Linked DNA regions of Sus scrofa. The protein of the gene in region 1 purifies or fractionates together with the protein of each later gene. This does not show direct contact. Links are inferred from orthologs where the notes say so. Each region holds a gene or a part of one and is shown in the gene's direction. Other genes may lie near its edges.

Evidence for each region. Proteins that work in one complex are often made in the same cells at the same time.
Region 2: the proteins of ADNP (region 1) and DAXX purify together in Homo sapiens (affinity purification with mass spectrometry; 4 studies listed by BioGRID and IntAct, with this or other methods). This does not show direct contact. The link is inferred for Sus scrofa from reciprocal best matches to the Homo sapiens genes ADNP and DAXX.
Region 3: the proteins of ADNP (region 1) and ZNF644 purify together in Homo sapiens (affinity purification with mass spectrometry; 3 studies listed by BioGRID and IntAct, with this or other methods). This does not show direct contact. The link is inferred for Sus scrofa from reciprocal best matches to the Homo sapiens genes ADNP and ZNF644.
Region 4: the proteins of ADNP (region 1) and CBX5 purify together in Homo sapiens (affinity purification with mass spectrometry; 4 studies listed by BioGRID and IntAct, with this or other methods). This does not show direct contact. The link is inferred for Sus scrofa from reciprocal best matches to the Homo sapiens genes ADNP and CBX5.

Annotation. Positions count from the first base shown.
Region 1 is NC_010459.5:52,319,533-52,323,493, reverse strand, and holds part of ADNP (activity-dependent neuroprotector homeobox protein), read left to right. Parts: intron 1-1,642; coding exon 1,643-3,961.
Region 2 is NC_010449.5:29,678,346-29,682,481, reverse strand, and holds the start of DAXX (death domain-associated protein 6), read left to right. Parts: upstream 1-1,336; 5' UTR 1,337-1,469; intron 1,470-1,540; exon of another isoform or gene 1,541-1,565; intron 1,566-2,001; exon of another isoform or gene 2,002-2,338; 5' UTR 2,339-2,390; coding exon 2,391-2,624; intron 2,625-2,764; coding exon 2,765-3,596; intron 3,597-3,716; coding exon 3,717-3,931; intron 3,932-4,090; coding exon 4,091-4,136. UniProt on the Homo sapiens protein: Transcription corepressor known to repress transcriptional potential of several sumoylated transcription factors. Down-regulates basal and activated transcription.
Region 3 is NC_010446.5:125,739,136-125,743,124, forward strand, and holds the start of ZNF644 (zinc finger protein 644), read left to right. Parts: upstream 1-1,189; 5' UTR 1,190-1,282; intron 1,283-1,409; exon of another isoform or gene 1,410-1,579; intron 1,580-1,883; exon of another isoform or gene 1,884-2,655; intron 2,656-3,989.
Region 4 is NC_010447.5:19,481,728-19,485,804, reverse strand, and holds the start of CBX5 (chromobox protein homolog 5), read left to right. Parts: upstream 1-1,277; 5' UTR 1,278-1,432; intron 1,433-1,598; exon of another isoform or gene 1,599-1,762; intron 1,763-4,077. Other genes in the region: HNRNPA1 (heterogeneous nuclear ribonucleoprotein A1), read right to left, coding at 1-68, 614-628. UniProt on the Homo sapiens protein: Component of heterochromatin that recognizes and binds histone H3 tails methylated at 'Lys-9' (H3K9me), leading to epigenetic repression. In contrast, it is excluded from chromatin when 'Tyr-41' of histone H3 is phosphorylated (H3Y41ph).

The DNA of each region.
Region 1 (3,961 bases):
GTCTTTTTGCTATTTCTTGGGCCGCTCCCGCGCCATATGGAGGTTCCCAGGCTAGGGGTCAAATCAGAGCTGTAGCCACCGGCCTACGCCAGAGCCACAGCATCGTGGGATCCCGAGCCGCGTCTGTGACCTACACCCCAGCTCACGGCAACGCCGGATCATTAACCCACTGAGCAAGGGCAGGGACCGAACCCGCAACCTCATGGTTCCTAGTCGGATTCGTTAACCACTGCGCCACGACGGGAACTCCCTTTTTTTTTTTTTTTTTTTTTTTTTTTTTTCGTTTAACTTTTCTTATTGATCTGTGCTGTCACCTAGCCTCTATAGAGTGACCTGAACCAGCAAGTGAAGGATGGGATAGGTGGCTCTCTAGGATGGCAGAGTGGAATTAAAAACAATAGTAGATGATCCAAGGCACAATATGCCAACAAACATCAGAAAGTGGTGATACAACAAAAATAAGTGAGGTGTCTTTTTCCACAAAGAGTGATTATCAGTTCAAACTGTACCATCATCTATTTCAGTAGTGATTGTCATTCTAGATTAAACTACACCGCAGAAATTTGATTATGTGGTCATCTGGTTCTTTCTTATCAATACCCCAGGGAAGGGTATTAACTAGCAGTCTTAAAATATGGAAAGCTTTCCAGTGGGACACATCATTTAGTTAATTGTTTTATAAATACTCAAGAAGGGTCACACTTTAAGGAAAAGCAGAGTGTTTCAACTCAATATCTGAAACAAAGTAGGTTTCTAGGGGAAAAATGATAACCTTTTACCAAACTTGTGCTTCAGAGGACCAAGTGCACAAATGTTAATGAGTGTAGTTGTGTAAGTTGCTCTTTGATACCTCGCTAGTTTTTTAACACCTTGCACTCCTCACAGTCTGTAGGAAATTTGTATTTAACTTATTAATTTGAATCAAAGCAGCTATCACTTCATTACTTCTTTTGAAGCTGCTCTTGAAAAGGAAGAGCTTATTAGCTTATAGAAGAAAGCTGACTTCTCAAATCAGTGTTTTGATCTACAGTGAAATCTGACTACAGTCTTCTTCGATCAGAGGGGAAAAAAGTTTTGAGATTTTCGAAGAAGTGCCTTTTTTTCTATGGAAATTTTTCCGTAATGGGGAGGATCAAAGGTGTGTATCCTATTGCCTAATTGCACTCCAACACTCTGGGCCTTAAATTTTACTATACAGTCAATCTGAAGCCTTCAGCAGCTTAACGATTTGCAGAGTGAAAGTGATTGCACCTAGCTTATTCTTGTCCTTCATAACCATGAATTGTCCATCTTGAAGCCCTGGGTCTTGAGTTTGTCTAAAACCAAAAAACAATGTGACTCTGGTCTTTTCTTAAAACACTGAGGAAGAACTTAGAATGGAGTTTCTATTTCTACAATGGGGATGCCAAAGCAAGTGTTTAGTTTAAAACAGCTTCCTCTTTTGAGTTTATATTCCATAAATTCATTTTGCATTTTGCAAAAGGAAAAAAAAAACTATATTCTAATCTGTGCATTACAGAGTTTCAGTTCTAAAACCAGCATGGTGTCTCTTAAAAAGAAAAGATTCTTCGGGGGGGAGCCTAGAACCTGTTATTACCTATCTGAAGTAACATTCTCCTTCCACTTTTTCTCTTTTCTTTAGGACTATCGGACAAAACCTTTTTGCTGCAGCGCTTGCCCATTTTCTTCAAAATTTTTCTCTGCCTACAAAAGTCATTTCCGGAATGTCCATAGTGAAGACTTTGAAAATAGGATTCTCCTTAATTGCCCCTACTGTACCTTCAATGCAGACAAAAAGACTTTGGAAACACACATTAAAATATTTCATGCTCCAAACGCCAGCGCACCAAGTAGCAGCCTCAGCACTTTCAAAGATAAAAGCAAAAACGATGGCCTTAAACCTAAGCAGGCTGACAGTGTAGAGCAAGCTGTTTATTACTGTAAGAAGTGCACTTACCGAGATCCTCTTTATGAAATAGTTAGGAAGCACATTTACAGGGAACATTTTCAGCATGTGGCAGCACCTTACATAGCAAAGGCAGGTGAAAAATCACTCAATGGTGCAGTCCCCTTAGGCTCAAACGCCCGGGAAGAAAGTAGTATTCACTGCAAGCGATGCCTTTTCATGCCAAAGTCCTACGAAGCTTTGGTACAGCATGTCATTGAAGACCATGAACGCATAGGCTATCAGGTCACTGCCATGATTGGGCACACAAATGTGGTGGTCCCCCGATCCAAACCTTTGATGCTGATTGCTCCCAAACCTCAAGAGAAGAAGGGCCTGGGACTCCAATCAAGAATTGGTTCCCTCGCTTCTGGAAACGTCCGATCTTTGCCATCCCAGCAGATGGTGAATAGACTCTCAATACCAAAGCCTAACTTAAATTCCACAGGAGTCAACATGATGTCCAATGTTCATCTCCAGCAGAACAACTATGGAGTCAAATCAGTGGGCCAGGGCTATGGCGTTGGTCAGTCAATGAGACTGGGTCTGGGTGGCAATGCACCCGTTTCCATCCCTCAGCAGTCTCAGTCAGTGAAGCAGTTACTTCCAAGTGGAAATGGAAGATCTTATGGGCTTGGGTCAGAGCAGAGGACCCAGGCACCAGCAAGATACTCACTGCAGTCTGCAAACGCCTCTTCTCTCTCATCAGGCCCCTTAAAGTCTCCTGCCCTCGCCCAGTCACAGGCATCCAGAGTATTAGGTCAGTCCAGTTCCAAACCTACCGCAGCTGCCACTGGCCCTCCCCCGCCCAATACGTCCTCAACTCAGAAGTGGAAGATATGTACAATCTGCAATGAGCTTTTTCCTGAGAATGTCTATAGTGTGCACTTCGAGAAAGAACATAAAGCTGAGAAAGTCCCAGCAGTAGCCAACTACATTATGAAAATACACAATTTCACTAGCAAATGCCTCTATTGCAATCGCTATTTGCCCACAGATACTCTGCTCAACCATATGTTAATTCATGGTCTGTCTTGTCCATATTGCCGTTCAACTTTCAATGACGTGGAAAAGATGGCGGCACACATGCGGATGGTTCACATTGACGAAGAGATGGGACCCAAAACAGATTCCACGCTGAGTTTTGATTTGACATTGCAGCAGGGTAGTCACACTAACATCCATCTCCTGGTAACCACATACAACCTGAGAGATGCCCCCGCCGAGTCTGTTGCTTACCATGCCCAAAACAACCCTCCAGTCCCTCCAAAGCCACAGCCAAAAGTTCAGGAAAAGGCAGATATCCCTGTTAAAAGTTCACCTCAAGCTGCAGTGCCCTATAAAAAAGATGTCGGGAAAACCCTTTGCCCTCTTTGCTTTTCAATCCTCAAAGGACCCATATCCGATGCACTTGCACATCACTTACGAGAAAGACACCAAGTGATTCAGACCGTTCACCCGGTGGAGAAGAAGCTCACCTACAAATGCATCCACTGCCTTGGTGTGTATACCAGCAACATGACCGCCTCGACTATCACTCTGCATCTAGTCCACTGCAGGGGTGTTGGAAAGACCCAGAATGGCCAAGACAAGACAAATGCACCCTCTCGGCTCAACCAGTCACCAGGCCTGGCACCTGTGAAGCGCACTTATGAGCAGATGGAATTTCCCTTGGTAAAAAAGCGAAAATTAGATGATGATAGCGATTCACCCAGCTTCTTTGAGGAGAAGCCTGAGGAACCTGTTGTTTTAGCTTTAGACCCCAAGGGTCATGAAGATGATTCCTATGAAGCCAGGAAAAGCTTCCTAACAAAATATTTCAACAAACAGCCCTATCCCACCAGGAGAGAAATTGAGAAGCTGGCAGCCAGTTTGTGGTTGTGGAAGAGTGACATTGCTTCCCATTTTAGTAACAAGAGAAAGAAGTGTGTCCGAGACTGTGAGAAGTATAAGCCTGGTGTGCTGCTGGGCTTCAACATGAAAGAATTAAACAAAGTTAAGCATGAGATGGATTTT
Region 2 (4,136 bases), on another chromosome or scaffold:
ACCGCTCACGGCAACGCCGGATCCTTAACCCACTGAGCGGGGCCAGGGATTGAACCTCATGGGGACTAGTGGGGTCTGTTAACCACTGAGCCACTACGGAAACTCTTCTGCTATATTTTAATAAAATTTATCTTTAAATGTGCAACAAGAAAATAAAGTGGCAAGATGCCCAACATTTGTGGAGTATGCAGGGATCCAAGAGGTGGGAAACTCAGCGACTGGACCGGTGTTAACTTTTTGGTTTCCCCAGAAGTTCACCTTTGGACCCAGCTTTGCTTCCGTGAGTCCCTCCAGCTTCCCTAAAGCTGGGCTAGGTGGGGGTCCAGGCGAGGCGGGCGTCAAAGTTGGTTTCTTCTCTTTTTGTTCTTTCATCAGCACTTCCAGAAGAAAAGACGAGACTCCGAGGCCTTTTACGAGCCTCATTTCGTCTCACAGTCCATACAGCGGCAATCTGCAGATTCTCCTCAGAGCCTCCTCCTCCTCACAACGCCCGTCCTCAGGCCCTGGAGCTTCTGGACAAAGCCCGGCCTCCCGGCCATCATCGCCTCCGCCTCGGGGACCTCCTCCAGAAAAGACGTCGTAGAACCACCTAGATTCTACCTACTTGGTTGGCCAATAGTTCTGTAGTGGAAAGCAAACCAGCAACAATAACAATAATAATAAAACACATTTGTACAGCTCGTGGTGCTCATTTGTATCCCGTGTTAGGACTTCGCAATTGGGCGAAGTAGGCACCTGTCGGTAGAAGTAGCAGCTGGACAGCGAAAAGGAGAGCGGGCCCATAGAAGGGAATGGCAGGTACAGTCGATTAAGCCAGGGAAACTGGTACCTGGCAGGTAGGAAATCGGCGCCAGAGGGCTTGTCAATAGCGCCGCGGATGGAAAAGGTTTTATTTTCCTCTCAAGAGGCTCCCCCCATTCCGTGCATCCCTGTGCAGCCTCGGAGGGCTCAATTCCTTTGCTGCTCTGTTCCGTACCCCCCCCCCCCCCCTTGGGAAGGTGGCTCTGTCCTCCCCGCACGCGACGCGCTGGCGGTTGGCCGGCTGCGGGAAGCTTCTGATTGGCCGAGTCGCAGAAGCACCGGGTGAAAAGAGCTTCACTGGCGGCGCGCCCCCACTCGGGGCGTAGCCAACGCCGTACGGGAAAATGGCGGCCCGCATGTACCTTGAGAGGCCCCGAATGGGGGATGGAGGGGCGCAAATCCGCCCCCTGCAGGTCAGGGAGAAAGGCGCCTCAGACTATGTGGGCGGCACTGGAGGTGCTCGAGGAGGCGGGCCTACTGTCACTTCCGGCCACTGGGGAGACTGGGATCCGTACGGCAACATGGCCGCACCCAGGAGCCTGTAGGCGGAAACTCCGCCGCTTCCGGTCCGGAGTAGGGCCTGCGGTGGGAGGGGGAAGGAAGGCGGAGGGAACCATGCGAGGTTCTGAGATCCGCGGCGAGTGTCGCCTCGAGAGACCGTTTCTGAGGTGGGGCCGGGCGGTGCGGGGGGCGAAGGCGGGGCGGGAATGTCGAGGTCGAGGTACTCGGGAGTCCTGGGCGTTGAGTCTGAGGGGCAGGCTGAGGTACCTTCCTTACTATCCCTGAAGGGGTGTGGGGGGGCCGGGGGCTGAACTGGGGGAGGGGGACTTGGCGGGAAGCTCCTCCGGGGGCAGGGCCGGCCTCAGGACTAGAGTGTGAGAGCAAGCAGGAGAGACCAGTGTGGGGCCCACGGTCGCTTACAGGTCACACGGAGAGAATGGGGAGGCTCGGGTTGGTGTGAGAGAGAGGGGACTGGAGCCGAGCTATCTCCGACTGCCGCCCCGGCTGGAGGAGACCCACCGGAGGGCGGGGTAGGGAGGTGGTCTTGGCAGGAGAAAGGGGAGTGGATGTGGGGAGGACCAACCCTCGCCTCGGAGAGGCTGGGAGTTGGGGTGATCCTACAGGACGGGGCGAACCTGTGGGAGAGCGGAAGGGGGACACGGGGAGGTGGTGCCAACGAGGGTGTGGTATCTGTTCCAGGGGGTGTCGAGGAAATCTGGAGTGCAGTGTGAGAGGTGGTCCGGGGTTGAGAAGAATCAACTTGCCACCTATGAGAAATAGTGGGGAAATGCAACCGAAAGACCGGATGTCGACGTGAGGGGTGGAGCTGGGGGTGGGACTTCAGGTTTTCCGAGGGTTTGGGGCTCTCGTAGTAAAGGGACAGAAAAACACGGTACTAATGGTTGCTGAAGACAGGCAGTGAGGACACTGTTGGGCATGGCTGGGTGTTTTTGAAAACCAAGAAGACAAAAATGTGTGAGATGAAGGGATGGGGCTCTGCTGGAGGGGCTCTTTCTGAGGCCCCGTCCCCTTCCAGCAGGAATCACGAAAACCCCACCACTTCCTCCCTCCGGGGGATTTGATCCCCCATGGCCACCGCTAACAGCATCATCGTGCTGGATGATGATGACGAAGATGAAGCAGCTGCTCAGCCAGGGCCCTCCCACCCACCCCCCAACCCAGCCTCACCCAGGGCAGCCCCCATTCCAGCCTCACCCAGGGCAGAAGCCCCTGGCTCCTCCCAGCCCCATGGGGCTGGAGGAGGCAGTAGTTCGGGCGGCAAGAAATGCTACAAGTTGGAGAATGAGAAGCTGTTTAAAGAGGTGAGCTTTAGGGGAGAGGATTCTTGTACTCCAGGGAGGGGGCTGGCCGACTGGCTCTCTTGTCTTGTCTTCCCCACTAACCCCACCTCGCCTTCTTTCTCTCAACCCATCCCTTGTCCCTTTCCCCGTGAACCTTCCAGTTCCTTGAACTGTGTAGGAGGCAGACAGCAGACCACCCTGAGGTGGTCCCGTTCCTCTCTAGCCGGCAGCAGCGGGCCCACTCACTGTTTTTGGCCTCGGCGGAGTTCCACAACATCCTCTCTCGGGTCCTTTCCCGGGCTCAGAGCCGGCCCGCCAAGCTCTATGTCTACATTAACGAGCTCTGCACTGTTCTCAAGGCCAACTCGGCCAAGAAGAAGATGAACCTGGCCCCTGCTGCCACCACCTCTAGTGAGCCCTCCGGGAATGACCCCCCCACAGGCCCCTCCTCGGACCCCATAAATGCTGAGACCACTGCCTCTGAGGCCCCAAGGACCCGTGGTTCCCGGCGGCAGATCCAGCGCTTGGAGCAGCTTCTTGCGCTCTATGTGGCAGAGATCCGGCGGCTGCAGGAAAAGGAGCTGGATCTCTCAGAACTGGACGACCCGGACTCCACTTACCTGCAGGAGGCCAGACTGAAGCGTAAGCTGATCCGCCTCTTTGGGCGGCTGTGTGAGCTCAAAGAATGCTCTTCTCTGACGGGCCGGGTCATAGAGCAGCGCATCCCCTACCGGGGCACCCGCTACCCGGAGGTGAACAGGCGCATCGAGCGGCTCATCAACAAGCCAGGGCCTGATACCTTCCCTGACTATGGAGACGTACTTCGGGCTGTCGAGAAGGCAGCTGCTCGGCACAGCCTTGGCCTCCCCCGACAGCAGCTCCAGCTCATGGCTCAGGATGCCTTCCGAGATGTGGGCATCAGGTTGCAGGAACGTCGCCACCTCGATCTCATCTACAACTTCGGCTGTCACCTCACAGACGACTACAGGCCAGGTAGGCCTTAGCAGGGTCTCCCCAGTCCCTTGGTGTGTTGGCCTATGCTGGAGGAAGCTCTCTGGAGTCCCTCCTTCTAGGATTCTGGGTGAGTGCTCTGACCTATGTCTTCCCATGCAGGTGTCGATCCTGCCCTGTCAGATCCTGTCCTAGCCCGGCGCCTGCGGGAGAACCGGAGCTTGGCTATGAGCCGACTGGATGAGGTCATCTCCAAATATGCAATGATGCAAGACAAGAGTGAGGAGGGCGAGAGACAGAAGAGAAGGGCTCGGCTCCCCCAGGCCACCTCTGCCCACTCTGCAGAACCCCCCAAAGCCTCCTTGGATTCTGGCGAGGTATGGAAGGGCCACACCCTTGAGAGAGACCCTGTCCTTCCCCTGCACTGGCCAGGAGGGAGTCCTTGGGACTGATGGCGGAGTGTGCAGAAGGGATGCAAGAACCAGTCCCTCAAGGGGGCAAGGGATTCCTTAGAGAAACTCCTTTGTCCCCCGAAGGGCCCTAGTGGGATGGCCTCCCAGGAGTGCTCGACCACTTCCAAGG
Region 3 (3,989 bases), on another chromosome or scaffold:
AACTTCTCTCTGCCTCATTAGGCTGTAATGAAGTTGAATGTGTCAGAACAATGCCTGGTGCATGGTAAGCACTGGAAACTATTATTTTTAACTAATGCAGCAAGAATAAATACTTGTCATTCGGGAATCTGTTTGCTGATAATGATGAAGTCCCCATCTCATTCTTGACAAATGACTGCAATTACCGTGTATGCCTCGGAATGCCAATCATGTCTTGAAGGTTTCATGATAGCTGCAAAATAACCGAAGACCTTTTTTTGGATAAGAAAACAGAGATTCAGAATAGACAAAGAATTTATTAGGGCAGGATTAGCAGAGTCCTCAGGAACTTTGGGTTCATGTCAAACATGTTAGCAACTTCCTGTTTGCCAGTTTAAAAGCAAAGCCAATAGCGCCTCATCAGTGTTTCTCAAAGTGGTCCACGAAACGCTGGCCTCAGACTCTCCGGTGGATACGTGTTTAAAAAGTTTTCTAGAACTCTCCCAGGCCCTACGAATTCTTTGAGGGATTAACCAGTATCTCAGGTGCTTCTTACATAACTAACTTGGAGATGCACAGCACAGTCAGTAATGCAAGGAGAAAGGATCCTCCCAGAATGGAGCTGGACCAAACCCAGGGCGCCTTTTTTGGAGGGGCTGTCCCGTGACCTGAGATGCTACCCTGGATGCTCCGCTTGTCCATCCAGCATCTCCCAGTAACGGGGCCCTTGAGAGCCAGAAACCCTGCTCTGCCGTCACTCTACGGCTGTGACGGGCGCTCTGGAGGTCCTCAGCTGTTCTCCCCCACAGCAGGGAAAGAGACGGAAGGGTGGCACGCTCGTGGCTGTGGAACTCAGACCCGGGCCTGCTCCACCTTAAAGGGCCTCGGCCTGCCTGAGTGCTTGGGTCTTGCAGAGTTTGGGCACCACCATATTTGGAGCGTGCCTACTTTGGGGCGGGGACCTCCTTGAGAGCGATGAGGTCAGCGCAGGGGGAGGTGACCTTGTTGGGCTCCTGGCACCCGAGAACAGTGGTGCACTGTTGCCGCCGCCCCCGTCGGTGCCCGCGGCCCAGGCGCCGCGGCCGCGCGAAGCCGCCCGCGAGCTCGTCGCCGGCCGTCCCCGGGCCCGCGGCTCGGGGCGAGGCGGGAAAGCGGCGCGCGTGCGCCGTGGGCCCCGGGCCGGCGGCAGAAGCGGGGCGCGCAGGGGGGCCGTCGGAGCCGCCGAGCGTACAGAGCGGCGCGTGACGCGGGGACGCCGCGCGCTCCCAACGTCGCCCCGGTTTGACGCACACGGCACCAAACTGTGAGTTTCGGGGCTCCTTCGGTCGGGCTCGCCGGGCCCCGCGTGGGCTCCGGGCGCGCGGGCCGCGGCGGCGGCGGGCCTGGGGGGCGGCAGGACGCGGGGGCGCCGGGCCGCGGCGCGCGGGCCCGGGCAGCGCCGCCCCGGGCCGGTCCCCAGCCTCCGCAGGACGCGTCTTGCCGCACAGGCTAAGATGGCGGCGGCGGCCGAGGAGGCGGAGTTGGTGCCGCACAAGGAGCCCGGGCCCCGGGTTCGGGGAGGCGGCGGCCGCGGCGGCCGCGGGGGGCGGCGGAGCCCGAGGTGAGCGGCGGCCGCCGCCGCGGGGCGGGCCTCGCCGGGGCCGGGGGGCGGGGGAGGCTCCTCGGCGGCGGCGGCGGCGGCGGACCTGGGAGCGGACACAAAGGGGCTGAGCCGGGCACGGGGCTCGGGGGTTTTGTTTAGTCACATGCAGCCGAGCAGCCAGTGAGCGGCGGGGGGAAGGGGCCGAGGCCGGGCGGCCCGGGGCGCCGGGCGGGCGCCATTGCGATGTCCGAGCCGCGGGGCGGCCCGGCGCTGGCCGGCGGCGCAGGCTCCGGCGAGGAGGGTCCACACCCCGCCCCTACCGGGGGCTCGGGGCCGCGGGGCGCTCCCGCCCCCTGCCCCGCGAGCTCCTCAGCCGCCCGGTGCCCGGGCAGTAGGCGCAAGAGGTAAATCGCTCGAAGCGTTTGGGTGGCCAGGGGCTCGGTGGGTGTCCAGCTAAAGCTTTTTGCTTCTCCAGGTCTGATTCCCTGGCCTTTGGGTCCCTGGGAGCTTAATCTCTGCCAGAGGAAAGCAGGTGTGCTCCACTTCTCCCGTGAACCTGAAGATGAGTTGCCCCAGACCCTTCTCAGTGATTGGAAACTTAGGTGGTGGAGCTAACGGTTTCTTGTTACGAGACTTCCACAGACGACTCTCGTGGTGGGATCCATCCATGGTTTAGCGACATTAGTGGAAAACTTTTTTTTTGGAACTGTTTTAAGTATCGTTGATGCACGCTTAGTTGTTATCAAACTTGTAAATTCAGATTTTCGTGTGGTCATTTAAGAAGTCCTCAACGAGAAGGTCAACGCAGTTGGCGGGCCTGAATGATGGGCCTGTGCTGTATACACGTTAATAATTTCAACAGAAATAACCCAAACACCGTCATCGATCCGGGCCAGTCCTAACTAATGCCAGGCTCGTTGCATCCGGATGATAGATTAGATTTGTGCTAATGGTTTTATTGCTTCTCCGCAGTAGTGTAGTTACAATTTTTTTTTTTTTTTTTTTTGGTCCCACAAGAAAAAGAGTTTTTCCAAAAATAGACAACTCAAATTACTCAAAGAAAGGAAACCTGCTGTTTGCCTTCAGTGCCATGTGTAAGTATCCAGGGAACATGAGGGCAGCCATATTGCATGGATAGGTTTGGTAACAAACAATTAGTTTATATAAAGAAGTTGCAACTTAGACTTTTTAATAGGTGAAACATGAAGACTTGACCACTGTTACTTCAGTGGTATACATATATATATATATATATATTTTGCTGGTAAAATCATGGTAGTGTAAGTTTTAGAATTTCTAACAAAGTTACACTGCGCTCACATCTACATCATACTTTGTATATTTGTAATATTAGAAGTATAAGAATTGCAAACAACTATCGTTTTGTTTTGGCCAGGTCACAGTAACAAGTTAAATTATTTGCTTGAAGGAATATTAACTCCTTTTTTTTTTTTTTGGCCACACCCATGGTATGTGGAAATGCCCCGGCCAGGAATCGAACCTGTGCCACTGCTGCAGCAGCGAGGAATCCTTAAGCTGCTGCATCTCAGGGGAACTTCCAAGGAAGGGATGTTTAAACACATCAGTGTTACTAACTTTAGATCTGGGTTCCAATTGAAATTTGAACTTTTCTGCATTCCTTAAAACTTTGGTTTTCCTTGTTTCCCCCCGCCAGATTTATGTTCCCCCACCTTTCCGCTTTTCTCCTAAGAGAACAATCTTGTATCAACAAATAGATGATATATTAATATCAGCAAAATTATTATTGAATCATTTAGCTTTAGCGTAGAGGGACTCTTAGAGAACAGCTAGTCGTGTCTTCTCTTTTACAATATATTTAGGGCCAGGAATGATTAATGTTATAGTGGAAAATTGTCTCTCAACTTACACCCCAGTGGTCTTTTCATTGGTCACATTGCTGGGATAAGGAGGTGACCACCTGCAACTGGTTATAAAACAAAAACAAAGGCATGTGTTTGAGAATACTTGTTAATTCGATACTGTTACATTAATGGTAAATTCTGTGAAAACAATTAAAAACTTACATTTACCTTGATATGGTGACTTAGTTTTTAAAGTGATTTCCGGGGAAACAAATGCAGATACAAAATGCAGACATTTCAGGTAATTTCAAAGCGATGTTGCTTTTGAATTTTGAGGTTTTCAGAAAACAATCTTGACGCAGTAATTTGAAAAAACAGGTAGTTTGATAAGCTTCTTGGCATGTTTGAGGTAATTGCCATTACTTCCAATTATTACGTAAGAAATGAGATAGATGCTGAAAAGAATGATGCTAGCGCCTTTCATTTTGTAATAGCATTTTAGTTGGTTAATGGACATGCCTCTTTGCCCCCTGTTCAAGGCGGCTCATTAGGACTGACTAGTACTGTTGCTGAGGGTAGATCTGTAAGGTCTAGTAGGAAATTCA
Region 4 (4,077 bases), on another chromosome or scaffold:
TCATCGGTTGTTTCAAAGCTCAAACCTCCGATGAAGAGCTTCCGCAGCTGTTCGGGCTCTTTGGGAGACTAGAAGTAGGGGCAAAAAAAGCGTTAAATAGGGCTATAACGCAAACAAGCTCCCCGCTACAAGAAGCAACACCAGGTAGCAACGTACGAAGCTTTTATTGTTCCCTCGGGTCGCTGTAAGCCACGTGCTTCTCCCCATCTGGGGAGGCGGTATGTTGGGGGCTGGGAAGCGGCGAGCGCATGCGCCCCTTACTCTCCCTACGACGCACGCGCAACAAAAGGACTGGGAGGGCGTGCATCGCCAAAATTGGACTACAGCTACTCTTTAAGAAAGTCGTCCACTAGGACAAGGATGAAAAACAGACCGAATGTGTCCACGAGCATTGCAAAAAAGAACGAGAGCAGCGTGATAACCAAGGATTGCACGACGACAGCCTCATGGCGACGAGGACAAAATGGCGACCTGAACTCAGGGAGGGGTAGGCCCCGGCAGCGACCGAAGAACTGCCGAAAAGGCTGGTGCAAGCAGCCAAACCAGACTGCACCCTACCAAACTCAGCAAGCGGCGAAGAAGAAAACGCAGATGAAAAAAGAGTCTCACTCACCTCTGACTTAGACATGACGGTAGTGGGGAGGAGGTTACAACGATGCTTACTCGGCGGCGTCCGGGGGCAGAAAGGAGTAATCTAACGAACGAGTCTGCCAGCCTACCTTCGGCCTCGCTTTTTTATCCCGCCTCCTCGCGTTCGGCATTGGTAGACTCCGCCCCTGAGTAGCTCTGATTGGATATTTGACATAGCTTTCCCCCACTATTGGTCTCTCGTATGCGTTGCTGTGTAACGTCATCCGTTTGGGCGTTCTACGCAGTCTCAACCCCTCCCGGTCCATTGGTTCCTAAGTAATATTATTCTTAACTAGACTGATTGGCTGGTCAACCAATGATTCATATTTGAATTATTTCGGGTATTGAGATAACTTTTTAATTAGCTATGTCCGGAATATTCAACGCCTGTGTCAAAGCATTTTTAATACTATGTATCAAAAAAGTAGCTAGCATGTGACAATTTGGCGGAACGGGGGCGGGGGCAAGATCGCCTGCTGAGCGCATGTGTAGTAAAATGGCGAGTTTACGCAGGCGCGCTAAGAAGTTCCGCCCGGAGCTTGCAACACGTGAAATGGCGGGCAGGAGACAGCGGCGAACCTAAGGCGCCTGCGTAGTGGCGGGAGTTGTGCCCCCTTTTGCGCAGGCGTAATGGGCGGGGAAAGGGTCGGGTCCCAGGATTGGTCGCGCAGGCGCAGGGAAGGATCCGTTTTGGCGGGCGGTTGGCGTTGCGCAGAAGGCGGCGGCGGCGGTGGCTTGTGGTCCGGCCGCACCACAGAGGAACAGGCGAGGCGTTAGCGTGAGTGATCGGTCTCGACCCCCGGTAAGTGGCGGACCATCTTGCCTACCCATACGAGGTCTTGAACTGACTCCAACTGGGCCCGTTATTGTGTGAAATGAATGGACCTCGGGGTGGGGGCTCGTGAAGGGGGAGCGGTGAGATCGGCCAACCAATGGAAGAACGGGGGCGGGATGTTTTATCCCCGTAGGTTCTGTGGAGCTTTGCAGCGGAAGAGTTTGACTGGCGAGTGTATAGGCCAATTGGGGCTGTCCTTAGCTGCCGACTCATCGGTCCTTGGGCCATCGGTATGTGGGAGGCGGGCTTTCTCCTCCTGAGCAGCATCTCACTGAGCCAATGAGCACGAAGCGCGCGGTAGGTTGGGCTCCTCCAAGAGGCCACGATTTGACTCCAATGGGGGATGCGGGAGTTGGGCGGTTAGGTGGATGGACCAAATCGGGAGCCAGTAGGCGAGCAGCCTCTGGAAAGCGCTCAGGCTGTTCGTCCAATCAGCGCTCCAAAAGAGGGAGGTCTTAGATTTGGGGATGCGAGGAAGGGGATTCAATGCCTGTGATGGCGCGTAGGGGCTATTTTATTCACAATGACTTTAACAAAACCTGTGGGCCTCCGTGCCACACTTCTCTGGTAGGAAAGCTGTTAAGTTTGGTCCTGTATTCCTCGGTTTTGGCTCTTTCCCCCCCACAACGGTATATCTCACCATCCAGCACTTTAGGTTTTGGAGGGGAACAAGGGATGTCAAAGACATGACTGGAAAACTCGCTTCTTTAGGAAGACTGCCTTGAAATGTTAGAACAAATAGAATTTATTTGTACTGTTGTGGAATAGCACCCAAGAAGAGTCTACAAAATAACAGTAATGCATATTTCCACAGACAAAGAAATATTTGTGAACCCATAGGAAATGTTTCGGAAAACTGCATAGCAAAATATGTTAACCTCTAGGGATACAGTGGGTTGGAGACACATCGCATCTCCAGTGTTTACATTTTTGCAGGGATAATAATTTGTAATTAAAAATAAATTTAAAAGCTCGTTGTTTTTGTGTTTTCAGTTATAGTCAAGTACTTCTCACCACCTCCTTACACCTCAAAAAGGTGCTGTTTTTCAGTTAAGAACTAAAGCGATTCTTGGTTTAAACAAACAAATTTTAAAAAGATAATTTTTTTTTTTGAGTACTGATAGTCATGATGTTAAGTGCTTTACAAGCATTGTCCAATTCCTTTATCTTAGGCTCTGCTCTGAGGAACTTTCTCCTCCATATATATATATCTCTTTACATTGTTACAGATCTTCTTAGGCCTTCTTTCTGCTGTTCCTTTAAGGATATCTGGATTTGGATAAAAAGGAAGTTGCTTAAGGAGGGTGATACTTAGGGTGCTGGAGACGGAACCCATCCATCACCTGGGTTATTTTTTGCCTTTTGATTATAGAATTTCAAAGTATTTCCTGTGCAGTCCATATCCTGTTAGTAATGCTTGTTCTACTCATTCCACTATGTTTTAGTAAACCATAGAAATTTTCATTACGTTTTGACTGTATGAGAGTCTATACTGCCCCTCCCCCTTTTTTGGCCGCACCTGTGGCATAAGGAAGTTCCTGGGCTGGGGATCTAACGTGCACCACAGCAGTGATCCAGGCTGCTGCAGTGGTGATTCTGGATCCTTAACCTACTGCCTCATAAGAGAATTCCTATACTCCTCTGTTATTAACTGCCTTATTTAGTATCAAGGGACAGTTGTTTAAATACTGTAGTAAGTTCAAATACACATGAAGAAGTTCTGTTATGATTAGAGATCTTTGTAACACTGTGCAAAAGGATGATTTTTAGCTGAGCTTATCCTGAACAGATTTTCATGTTTTCTGATACTTGAAATGGAAAATCTGTTTCATATTTGCGTATAAACTATAGGTATGCTAATAGTGTAGCTACTTGGTTTATAAGAACTGAAGTGATATAGATTAAGAATTTCTGTCCCTAATTTATTTAAATTTGAAAGGAATACAATCTTGATCTGTAGGGTTTCTCAGCTTCAGTGCTATTTACATTTTGAGCCTAGTAAGTGCATTTCACCTCCCCATACCCCCACTTGTGACAATCAAAGTTTTCCCAATTGTCCTGGGAGGGAGGGGTGCAAAATCTCCACTTGGAAACCATTTATCTGGGAGTTCCTTTCACGGATCAGTGGTTAACGGGCCCAACTAGGATCCATGAGGATGCAGGTTCGATCCCTGGCTTCGAGCAGTGGGTTAGGGATCCAGTGTTGCAGTGAACTGTGGTGTAGGTTGAAGATTCTGCCTGAGTCCCATGTTGCTGTGGCTTTGGCATGGGCCAGAGGCTGTAGCTCTGATTCGTCCCCTAGTCTGGGAACTTCCATATGCCATGGGTGCAGCCCTAAAAAAAGGACAAAAGACCACAAGTAAATAAATAAATGAAAATAAAAAATGAGACATCGTAGAGTTGATTATCTTGTCAAAATATTTTGTTTTTTGCCAATTGGAAATCAGAGGGAGAAGATGAATGTTTAGGAAGTGTCCTTGGTAAAGTGGATCACTGAGTCCTTATGATTATCTGTTCAGATAGAGCATGATCATTGTTTCATTGGGTAAAAGAAAACTTTCATTAAGATTTTTACCATTTCTTGCAGTTTAAACATTGATTGCATCTTATGT